Arabidopsis thaliana: one gene and its partner. The protein of the gene in region 1 purifies or fractionates together with the protein of each later gene. This does not show direct contact. Each region holds a gene or a part of one and is shown on either strand. Other genes may lie near its edges. The genes, in order: Tic32-IVa and Tic22-III.

Region 1 (5,207 bases):
GCATCAAGTGGTATAGGTGTAGAAACAGCTCGTGTTCTTGCACTGCGTGGTGTGCATGTGGTTATGGCGGTGAGAAACACTGGCGCCGGTGCTAAAGTTAAGGAAGATATTGTCAAGCAAGTCCCTGGAGCTAAAGTTGATGTCATGGAGTTAGAACTCAGCTCAATGGAATCTGTCAGGAAATTTGCATCTGAGTACAAATCTGCTGGTCTTCCACTCAACCTCTTGATGTAAGCTATTGAAATATCGTGGTTCATCTATAGCCGTTTGGATTTATTGACGTTTATGTTTTGACTTGTCTCAATTTTGTAAGCAACAATGCCGGGATTATGGCATGTCCTTTTATGCTCTCTAAGGACAACATCGAGCTGCAATTCGCAACCAACCATTTAGGTGAGTATGATAACCAAACCAACATTATGGCTTTGTCCTACATTTTATATAATTAGTTTCTAATCAGTGCAACGGTTTTTGTAATCCAAATACATTTCAGGACATTTTCTGCTTACCAAACTTCTGTTAGATACAATGAAGAACACATCACGTGAAAGCAAAAGAGAAGGAAGGATTGTTAACGTATCATCAGAAGCTCATCGTTACTCGTACCCAGAAGGAGTCCGCTTTGATAAGATCAACGACGAGTCAAGGTACTAATGGTGAACCAAATAGTATAATTCTCCGATCCCATCTTTTCTTCTAAAGCCAACATTCTTCCTTGATTTGGTCTCCACATGCAGTTACAGTAGTATACGTGCTTATGGACAATCTAAACTCTGCAATGTATTGCACGCCAACGAGCTTGCAAAGCAACTGAAGGTAAACTACACTAAACAAAGCAAAGATATAGCAAATCAAGAATCTATGTTTCCATGGTTATCTTCAATTCTGGTATATGATTAAAAACAGGAAGATGGAGTCAATATAACAGCAAATTCACTTCATCCAGGAGCCATTATGACAAATCTATGGGGCTACTTCAACTCCTATTTGGCTGGTAACTTCTTTTCTCGGATTCAACTCTCATCACTCCATGTTTCATAAGGTTACACTCAAAGTAAACAAACGCATACATATATTTTGAGTCTCTTCTGATCTCTCTGTCACCGGCTTAATGCAGGAGCTGTTGGTGCAGTGGCTAAATATATGGTCAAGTCTGTTCCGCAGGTATGCATCTAATTTCTGAACCTCACACTAATAACCAATCACTTGCAAACTTGTCACTAGGTTTCTCAGCTTAAGTAGGAGAGAATGATACAGCAGTCTAGCTTTACGGATTGATTTGGTTTTTGTTGGTAATCTGGTTTATAATGTCTGAGTATTCGACTTGGTAGGGGGCGGCAACAACTTGCTATGTGGCATTGAATCCACAGGTTGCAGGAGTTACAGGGGAATACTTCTCAGATAGCAACATTGCTAAACCAATAGAACTTGTCAAAGATACAGAATTGGCGAAGAAGCTTTGGGATTTCAGCACTAAGCTTACTGATTCGCAATGATGATTACCGTTGCAGTAGATAGTTGTTCAGGGAACCTTTACTTTCGATGTCTCTATTGTGACAATACTTATTTCAGTCTTTATTGATACAAAATAAAATGTAAAAAACAAATCTGAAATCATTTCCATTTCAATTCTGCAAAAAGATGGTTTATCCAATTTCAGCCTAAACAAAAGTGTTACTTATCTGTTTTCTCATTGACTCAAAACAGTTGTCTAGTGAACTAACTCGTAGACATAAGTAAGTAAGAAACCAAACAGAAAGAGCTTAAAACATCTTCTGATTTTGGAGTTAACTCATGTTATTGGTGGGAGCTATTTTAAGGACATTTGTTAAATCCTTTAAAAAGAAAGTTGTTAATAAATCCCCATCATTTGACTTTGGAGATGCACTATTCTACACTTCAACCTCAACCTCGTGAGACATGAGGATTAAAGTAAAGTAATCACATTTCTGTCACATATGAACAAATAAAGTTATTTAAATCAGAATAAAAGCGAAATCGCTTGACCACTCAAGAAGAGAAAAACGCTAACAAGTCCCATAGTTTGTGTTTATTGGACTTCTTTCCTCTCATCTTCTCCAGCAGAAACAAAAAAAGCTGAAAGATGTGGTTTTTTGGATCGAAAGGAGCATCTGGATTCTCGTCTCGTTCAACTGCAGAGGAAGTCACACATGGTGTTGATGGGACTGGTCTCACTGCCATAGTCACAGGTTTTCTTCTATCAACACTTTCATGCCATTTTGCGACATGGGGTTGTCTAAAGTTGTAGACTTTTTTTCTTATAATTTCCAGAACTTTTGTCCTCTCTGATTCTGTCTTCGAATTGATTTCATATCTAGTAAAAAGACTTGACTTTTATTGTTTAGACAATTGGAATTTAAGGTTTTTATCATCAGGGTCTGTCTTTGATTCGGTCAACTCTAATAAATATTGAGGTCATCACTGTTTCTTGTTCGAAAGTTGTCTTTTTTTTCAAGAATTTGGATTGAAAATTCCATGTTTGGTGAATTTTAAAGTACAACAAGTTTGGGACCATATGTATAATTGCATGTTAAGGGAAAATAACTCGTCTCTGTTTCAGCTGCTTGTAAGTTGTGTTATATATCACAACTCTATACAATTCCTGGCCAAGGGAAGAAAAAATACAGATTTGCTTGTAGAAATCGTTTCTATATTTTGATCATATTACATTAGGGCCTGAAACAAGAACAATGGAGTCCTTGAATTGATAGAACCCTGTTAGGTGACACTAAAGACTTGCACATACATATTTGAGTGTAGCATCGATTGGGCAAACCCTGAGTCAGCCTAATAGCCTATCAGGGTTTGAAAAGGCTTGGAAGAGCTTAACTGATCATTGGTTGATACAACTTTAAAAAGTAGTCTAGCCTGCATTGAGTTTTCTGGACATGTTTGGTTCCTTAAGTTTTCTTGTCTTTGTGTTCATATTTTCAGGAGCATCAAGTGGTATAGGAGTAGAGACAGCGCGTGTTCTTTCACTGCGTGGTGTGCATGTGGTTATGGCGGTGAGGAACACTGACTCTGGTGCTAAAGTTAAGGAAGATATTGTCAAGCAAGTCCCTGGAGCTAAACTCGATGTCATGGAGTTAGATCTCAGCTCAATGCAATCTGTCAGGAAATTTGCGTCTGAGTACAAATCTACTGGTCTTCCACTCAACCTCTTGATGTAAGCTATTGAATACTGTATATAGCGGTTTTGATTTATTGATGGTTAATGTTTTGAATTGTCTTAATCTTGTAAGCAACAATGCCGGGATTATGGCATGTCCTTTTATGCTCTCTAAGGACAACATCGAGCTGCAATTCGCAACCAATCATTTAGGTGAGTAGGAGAAGTAAACCAACATTATGTGGCTTTGTTCTAAAGTTATATACTTAAGTTAACATCATCATTAGTTTTTAGTCAGTGGCATGGAATTTGTGATCCACTTTATTTCAGGTCATTTTCTGTTGACTAAACTTCTGCTAGATACAATGAAGAGCACATCACGTGAAAGCAAACGAGAAGGAAGAATTGTTAACCTATCATCAGAAGCTCATCGGTTCTCGTATCCAGAAGGAGTTCGTTTTGATAAGATCAATGACAAGTCAAGGTACTAATGGTGAACCAAATAGTAATTCTTCTATCAAAATCTAACATTCTTCCTTGGTTTGGTCTCCGTTGCAGTTACAGTAGTATGCGAGCTTATGGACAATCTAAACTCTGCAATGTGTTGCACGCCAACGAGCTTACAAAGCAACTGAAGGTAACTAGAAAAACAAGAGATCTATCAAATCAAAATCTATGTTTCCATGGTTATATTGATTCAAATCTGGTATGAATAAAATAGGAAGATGGAGTCAATATAACAGCAAATTCGCTTCATCCAGGAGCCATTATGACTAACCTCGGGCGCTACTTCAACCCCTATTTGGCTGGTAACTTCTTTTCTCTTATTCCACTATCATCACCCCATACTTCACAAGGTTACACACAAGTAAACAAACGCATACATATACTTCTTCTGATCCTCTCTGGCATTGGCTTGATGCAGTAGCGGTTGGTGCAGTGGCTAAATATATACTCAAGTCTGTTCCACAGGTATGCTTCTAATTTCGAAGCCTCACACTGGTAACCAATCACTTACAAACTGGTCACAAGGTTTCTCAGATCTTGCTTAAAGGATAAAACTTGGTTTTGTTCCGTTATGTGGTTTATAATGTCTGAGTATACGACTTTGTAGGGAGCGGCAACAACTTGCTATGTGGCATTGAATCCTCAAGTTGCAGGAGTTTCAGGGGAATACTTCCAAGATAGCAACATTGCTAAACCATTACCACTTGTCAAAGATACAGAATTGGCCAAGAAGGTTTGGGATTTCAGCACCAAGCTTACCGATTCACAATCAGGAGAAAGCAGTTCTTGAAAGTAAATGATGTTCAGTGAATCTTTACTAATGGTTTCATGTTTCAACGTCTCTTATCTCTACTGTGACAATACTTATTTCAGTCTTTATCAAAGGAAATAAAAACGTATAACAAATCTGCAATAAGATGGTTTATTCTGACCGGTTTAGTTCTAAACCTTCACCAAACACTTATCAGAAGAAAATGTAAAAAAGCTTTGTAATCAAGTATCAGAAGATTTTAAAGACAACTTTCGAATTCAAAAAGAAGAAGAAGCCACGAGGAGACAATACTGTCAATGCATTATTAAAGTGATGGTCAGAAATGAAAATAAAAATCAATGATGATAGTTTTCTAGTTTAAACTCACTTTATTAATGGTTTCATTAGGAAGGTTAAGTAATTAATTAATCTTTGTGATTGGAATTTGGATCATAACGTGCAAATTGTCGATATAGAGTGTTATAGATAGGCTCTGTATTTAATTCATTTCATACCCTCTATATATAATTGTCGGTCGTTAGATGGCATTTGTTTTTATATTTATTTGATTTGGACCAAACAATGCTATTAATGATATGCATTGTATAAATTTCAAACTATAACGAGAGCAAATTTCAATGTAGGTTTAGGACTATATATGTTGATATTTAACAAAAAAGAAAAATTCATCTTAGGGTGATAAGATTGATCACTAAAGATTATTGAAATGTGGCCAAGTACTAGAGTACTACTATTTGTGACTATTTTACAATTGTTCACAATCATATCTATTGTACGTACAAACTATTTGCAGAAAAA
Region 2 (5,402 bases), on another chromosome or scaffold:
CATAGAGCTGAATATAGTGGCTGAGTATCAAAAGTCTTTTTTCGGGTTCTTAGGGGACGCGTTCTAGTACATGCTGAAGCGCTTTCTTGATTCCTCCTTGTTCCAGAGACGTTGTCAAGTGTATCTCTTGCACCTGTAATGTTAATATTTTACTTAAAATCAAACCAAGAATCTCTCTATCTATGGCCATATAAATGGGTAGCTTCTGAGATTTACCTGTCTTCCAGCACGGGCAAGAAGAACAAACTTCCCATCAGAAGGCGGTGTCTGCGTGTGAACATGCGCATAGAATCAGAATTTTCACAGAGCAGAGTTTATTCTTACGGGAAAGTAAAGAGAAACAGAACTCACATTTGAGAGCCAAAGTTGTAGGTCTTGTGAAACCACTCTTTTCTCAAATCCTTGCCGGTTGATTTTCACAGCTTCTATTCTGCAATATAGAAATGAATATTAGTTACACACTGGAACCAAAATGTTATGCCTGAAACATAGATTCTATAAGTAATGCAATTAACAATATCCAACTCATCATGGGTTCAGAAAAAGTATCAGCCAGCAATAGCTATTGACATGTATATATTCAATCGCAAATCGAGGAGTGAACAAATCTAGTAGAGTAGAGGTGATCCTAGTCACTTATAATAAGCAGATATTATGCAAAGAGCTGACTAGGACTGCATAGTAAATTTAAATTATAAAATGATATTGTCTATATACCCATCTTCCTTTAAAAGCTCTTCAAGTATTGTTTCTAGCCCTGGAAGAGGTTCAATTGTATCCCCATTGTTCGAGCTTAGCGAAGGAGATCCAGTAGAACTGTCCTGTAACAATATTCAATTATCTATTAAAAATCACTAAGACCCACAAGAGACAGAAAACACATTCATTCACATTGTTTTACCTTCAAAATCACTTTGTCTAATGTTTCTAGAAGAGGATCATCTTCTAGTTGTTTGATGGATAGTGTAATCCTTGATTTCTCTCTGCATTGGAACAACTTTTGATTAAAAACTATATCATGAGTCATGGCTAATAAATTTCAGTAACCAAAATAAGCAACTCACTTGTCAATATTCGTGACTATAACCCGAACCTCGTCACCATCGCGTAGTACATCCCTAACATCTTGAACGTAATCCCATGATACTTCGGAGACATGCACTAGTCCAGTTAAATGATAAAGACCTATACACCACCACCCCACATAACTGACATCAATGTCATAAGCTCAAAACAAGAAAAAGAAACCAAGAAATTTAGGTAAAAGCAAATATACCATCATCAAAACGCAAGTGGATAAAGGCACCATAGTCCTCAACAGAACCTACTCTTCCGTTAAACACATCCCCAACATTAACGTTTTGTGAATACTTTGGCCATAATGCTAACTTCTCAGATAAAATCAACTTTCTATTTTCCTCATCAGCTTGAACAACCTAATATAAAGATTTACCTCAAATTATAAACAATATAGAGATCACAAAACAAGCCAAAGGAGAAAACTTTACCTTTACAGGAAGTTTAGAACCAACCAAAGTCTTAGCTATCTCATGAATACTTTTCTGAGGCTCTTCATAAAGCAAAACACAAACCATCGATCAATGTAAAAATCGATACTTTAAGGACATAAACATAGAACCTTGTGAAGAAGAGAGAGTTTTGGTTACCTTTACAAGAACGGGAAGGACTTAATTGTGGATAAGGAAGAAAACCCACAAGAGAATGAAAACGAATAAGTAAGCCACCACCATTAAAGCCTTGAACTTCACCTTCAAATGTATCACCACTTTTACAATAAGCTTTTGCTGTTTTCCAATCGCTTGGTCCTGCAGCTGAAGCTTCGTCGGAGGTATCACGGAGAAGAGAATTGGAAGCGGAGAGGACTGAGGAAGAGGCTGATTGATCGGAGTTTCTATCGGTATCTGCTGTGGCGGAGCTTGAGAAGGATTTGACTATGCAGACGAGAGAGTTTCTATTGGAAGAAGAAGAAGACGAGGAAGGAAGGAGTCTAAGTGGGCAAGAGAGGAAAGTGGATTGTTGGTCGAAGAGATGAGAGGCGAATGAAACAGAACCTAAAGTAGTAGCGCCACTAAAAACCGCCATTGTTGCGCGGTAGAGCAAAAAAGCCACGGAGATTGAAGGTAATGATGGTTAATGGATTTTGCCATTTTGGATAAGAAAGTGAGAGACTGGAGATGAAGGTGACGTGGCATTTGTCAGCTCACAGGTGCTATATTTTAAAACATATAGGATCAATTTGTAAACATTGGATAATTAGAGGGTTTCTTTACAAAAACAATTCTAATTCAAGCAAAGAGATCAAATCTTTTTCCTCAGTGTCGTCGTCTTCTTCGCAAAGCCTTTCAAAAACCCTTCACTACTCTTTCTCAGAGTCTCAAGCATCATTTTCCCGAGAAAACTATGAATTCAAACATTTTCCCACCATCGAAACAACAAAACGAGCTTAATAATATACAACAATCCTTCTCAAATCTCCAATCTCAATGCTCCAATTTACTCCTCAACGTTTCACAAACCCTTAATCCTCTCTTCAACGCCAACACGAACAACAACAAACCTAATATATTCTCTGCTCTCAATTCGTTTCGTGATCAAGCTAAGCAAGCTTTAGATTCTAGAATCTCTCGATTCAATTCTGGTAAGGCACCTGTCTGGGCGAGAATTTCTGACGACGGTGGTGGTGCGAGGGCTCAGGTGACGGTTCCGATTCGCGGAAGCGGGAAAGGATTATCTGCTGATGCTATTGAGGAGAGATTGGCGGGAGTTCCTGTTTACGCGTTGAGTAATTCGAATGAGGAGTTTGTGTTGGTTTCAGGGACTTCCTCTGGGAAATCTCTGGGTTTGTTGTTTTGTAAAGAGGAAGATGCAGAGACTCTTCTTAAAGAGATGAAGAGTATGGATCCTCGTATGAGGAAAGAAGGTTCAAAAGTTGTTGCTCTTGCTCTTAGCAAGGTATAAGGAGGAATCAATAACTCAATTAGCTCCTTTAGTATTCTTCTGTTTAGTGGTTTTGATTTTTGTGTGTGTTGTTTGTTGCAGGTGTTCCAGTTAAAAGTTAATGGTGTGGCATTTAGGTTGATTCCTGAGTCTACTCAAGTGAAAAATGCCTTGAAGGTGAGTTGATTTTACGATCGAACATATCTTTGGATACTCAAAAACTTTTCTTTTTGTCACGGTAGGCGTTAGACCTGCTGAATATGACTGTCATCATTCATTAACGAGGAGCTTTTGTGTTAATTTAGTTCAGGGGCATTTTGATTACTTCAGTGGTTTATTGTAGCTCTGTTTCAGCGACTATAGATAAGTCAGTTAGTTAGAGAGGTAACTGATTAGAAGGAAGTTGATGCAGATGGAGAAGGGATTCTGGATTGGTCTAGCATTGGTTTGGGCTTAGGAGAGTTGAGGGTGCTTTAGAATTCATCATTGGTGCTTTGATTTGGTTTGTTCTCAGTTCTGTATGTGGATTCAGAGAGTGAGTAAATAAAGAGAGAATACCTTTTCTGCGTCAACAGTTGGTTTTCTTTAGGAGTACACTAATTGCATTCAGTTTTGGTACATTTTTACTCAAAGGTGGTCGGGTTAATTTGCAGGGTATAGGTCTTATGGATGTAATCCTTCCTAGATGTACGATTATGTTTCTGAAAACAGACTGTAGCATTTGGTTAGACACAGTACAAGTAAATTATATATCTCTTCTATATGTGTATACAGGAAAGGAAAACAGCTGGTATCGATGATGATGACTTCCATGGTGTTCCGGTTTTCCAGGTAATATGCGAAAGAACCAATACTTTTAATGGTTGTGACTAGCTTTTTCGTTTTTACTCTATCTAGTGGTCTGTAATATAGTTTCGGATATTTATCTACCATGGAATCGTAATAATCATTATTTCTTCCTTAAAATGGTCGAGACATGTTTTCCTTAATGTCCAATTTTCTTAACGATCTGACTTGTGTTGTCTCAGTCAAAGAGCTTGATTCTACGAAGTGAAAACATGAGTTATCGCCCTGTTTTCTTTAGAAAGGTTAGTTAAACTAACAAGACACAGTTCACCTTTGTCCATACACTGATTACATGATCGGCAAGCTTGAGTCTTGGTTGAGTTTTGACAGGAGGACTTGGAAAAATCTCTAATACGAGCGTCCAGCCAACAGAACCGACTTAACCCTGCTCTGAAACCAGGCGATATTCAGGTTCCTTGTTATTTAACTTTAGTCTCCCTATTTCTTGTCAATCCATAATTCTGTCATCTCATATTGAAATTCATGATTTTGTATTCCAAAGGTTGCAGTTTTCGAAGATATTGTCAAGGGAATGAGGGTAAACAATCAAACATGATTCTGTAATGCATTTTCCTTTAAGAATGATTGGTTTTGCTGAACCTGTTTTCCCGGGCGAAATTGCAGGAAAGCACGACGTCAAACTGGGACGACATTGTGTTTATACCGCCTGGTTTTGAGGTTTCAACTGAGCAAACACAGGAGTAAGTGAAATCCTTGGAGCATCGTAAAACCTCAACACAATGCTTCTCCCTTTTCATATTCCTATCTCATCATTCAACAACTTGATGAACACAGCGAGTTGGAAATAGCGTTGATGATGTTAACTCCATTAACATCCTTCTCCAATCTCTGCTTTTTCTATGTCATCTTATGAGTTTTTTAGTGACATCTTCGCTTTATGTTTACTATTAGTACTAGAAGAGTAGCTTGTACTAATAGTCTAATATTACTGTCATGTCTTAACATTTAAGTTAATTTTTGTTAATTTGCATCCGTGACCTAAGTGGGAAAGTGGGAAACTATGCGTCAACTTTTGAAAAATTGTGATTGACTAGATTTACCTATCAATATCTTAACAAGGTCCATGTAAAAATCGTGCAAACCCGCATTTGATTAATCATCTCTCGTATTTTTCCATGATTTGTATATATTGACATGTTCAATTCGAAAATCCTACATATCAGCCGCAACTCGTATATTAAACTACGATTTTGTCTATTTTGTTGACCAATAAATTTTACTTATTTGAAATTTATTATTCTAATTTAATATGAAAATCTATTTTTAGTGTATATCATTTATATATAATCATAGTTTTAGACAAAAATATATTTACTTATTTCAGCTCAAAAAAATACTAAAAGTTTCTGCATAAAAAAACTACTTTTGATTCAATTTTTGGTGTCATGAGGTGTGTTACCTCGTTTGTAGTTTTGTGTATTCTCATGTTCCTTGTGGTAAACAATGTTAAAGGTAATACTATTAATTTTCTTATAATTTTTTTATATATTAGGAGTTATGCAAATATTGATTATTCCTATCAAACTTTGAAATTCTTTGTTTATCAGTATAGTTTAGTTAAATATTTATCTGTGGTT

What was found.
Region 2: the proteins of Tic32-IVa (region 1) and Tic22-III purify together in Arabidopsis thaliana (affinity purification with western blotting, with the first as the bait; one study listed by BioGRID). This does not show direct contact.

What each region holds. Positions count from the first base shown.
Region 1 is NC_003075.7:12,227,067-12,232,273, forward strand, and holds Tic32-IVa (NAD(P)-binding Rossmann-fold superfamily protein), read left to right. Parts: upstream 1-1,836; 5' UTR 1,837-2,104; coding exon 2,105-2,210; intron 2,211-2,955; coding exon 2,956-3,187; intron 3,188-3,263; coding exon 3,264-3,343; intron 3,344-3,460; coding exon 3,461-3,614; intron 3,615-3,688; coding exon 3,689-3,767; intron 3,768-3,851; coding exon 3,852-3,939; intron 3,940-4,055; coding exon 4,056-4,102; intron 4,103-4,244; coding exon 4,245-4,427; 3' UTR 4,428-4,652; downstream 4,653-5,207. Other genes in the region: AT4G23420 (NAD(P)-binding Rossmann-fold superfamily protein), read left to right, coding at 1-230, 314-393, 494-647, 738-816, 907-994, 1,118-1,164, 1,332-1,496. UniProt on the Arabidopsis thaliana protein: Involved in protein precursor import into chloroplasts. Part of the redox regulon consisting of TIC32, TIC 55 and TIC62.
Region 2 is NC_003074.8:8,531,640-8,537,041, forward strand, and holds Tic22-III (Tic22-like family protein), read left to right. Parts: upstream 1-2,208; 5' UTR 2,209-2,421; coding exon 2,422-2,973; intron 2,974-3,060; coding exon 3,061-3,135; intron 3,136-3,732; coding exon 3,733-3,789; intron 3,790-3,986; coding exon 3,987-4,046; coding exon of another isoform or gene 4,047-4,055; exon of another isoform or gene 4,056-4,134; coding exon 4,135-4,215; intron 4,216-4,306; coding exon 4,307-4,342; intron 4,343-4,428; coding exon 4,429-4,509; 3' UTR 4,510-4,902; downstream 4,903-5,402. Other genes in the region: AT3G23700 (Nucleic acid-binding proteins superfamily), read right to left, coding at 50-133, 217-267, 352-430, 718-821, 902-983, 1,065-1,185, 1,277-1,436, 1,509-1,570 and 1 more; SCRL13 (SCR-like 13), read left to right, coding at 5,211-5,277. UniProt on the Arabidopsis thaliana protein: Involved in protein precursor import into chloroplasts.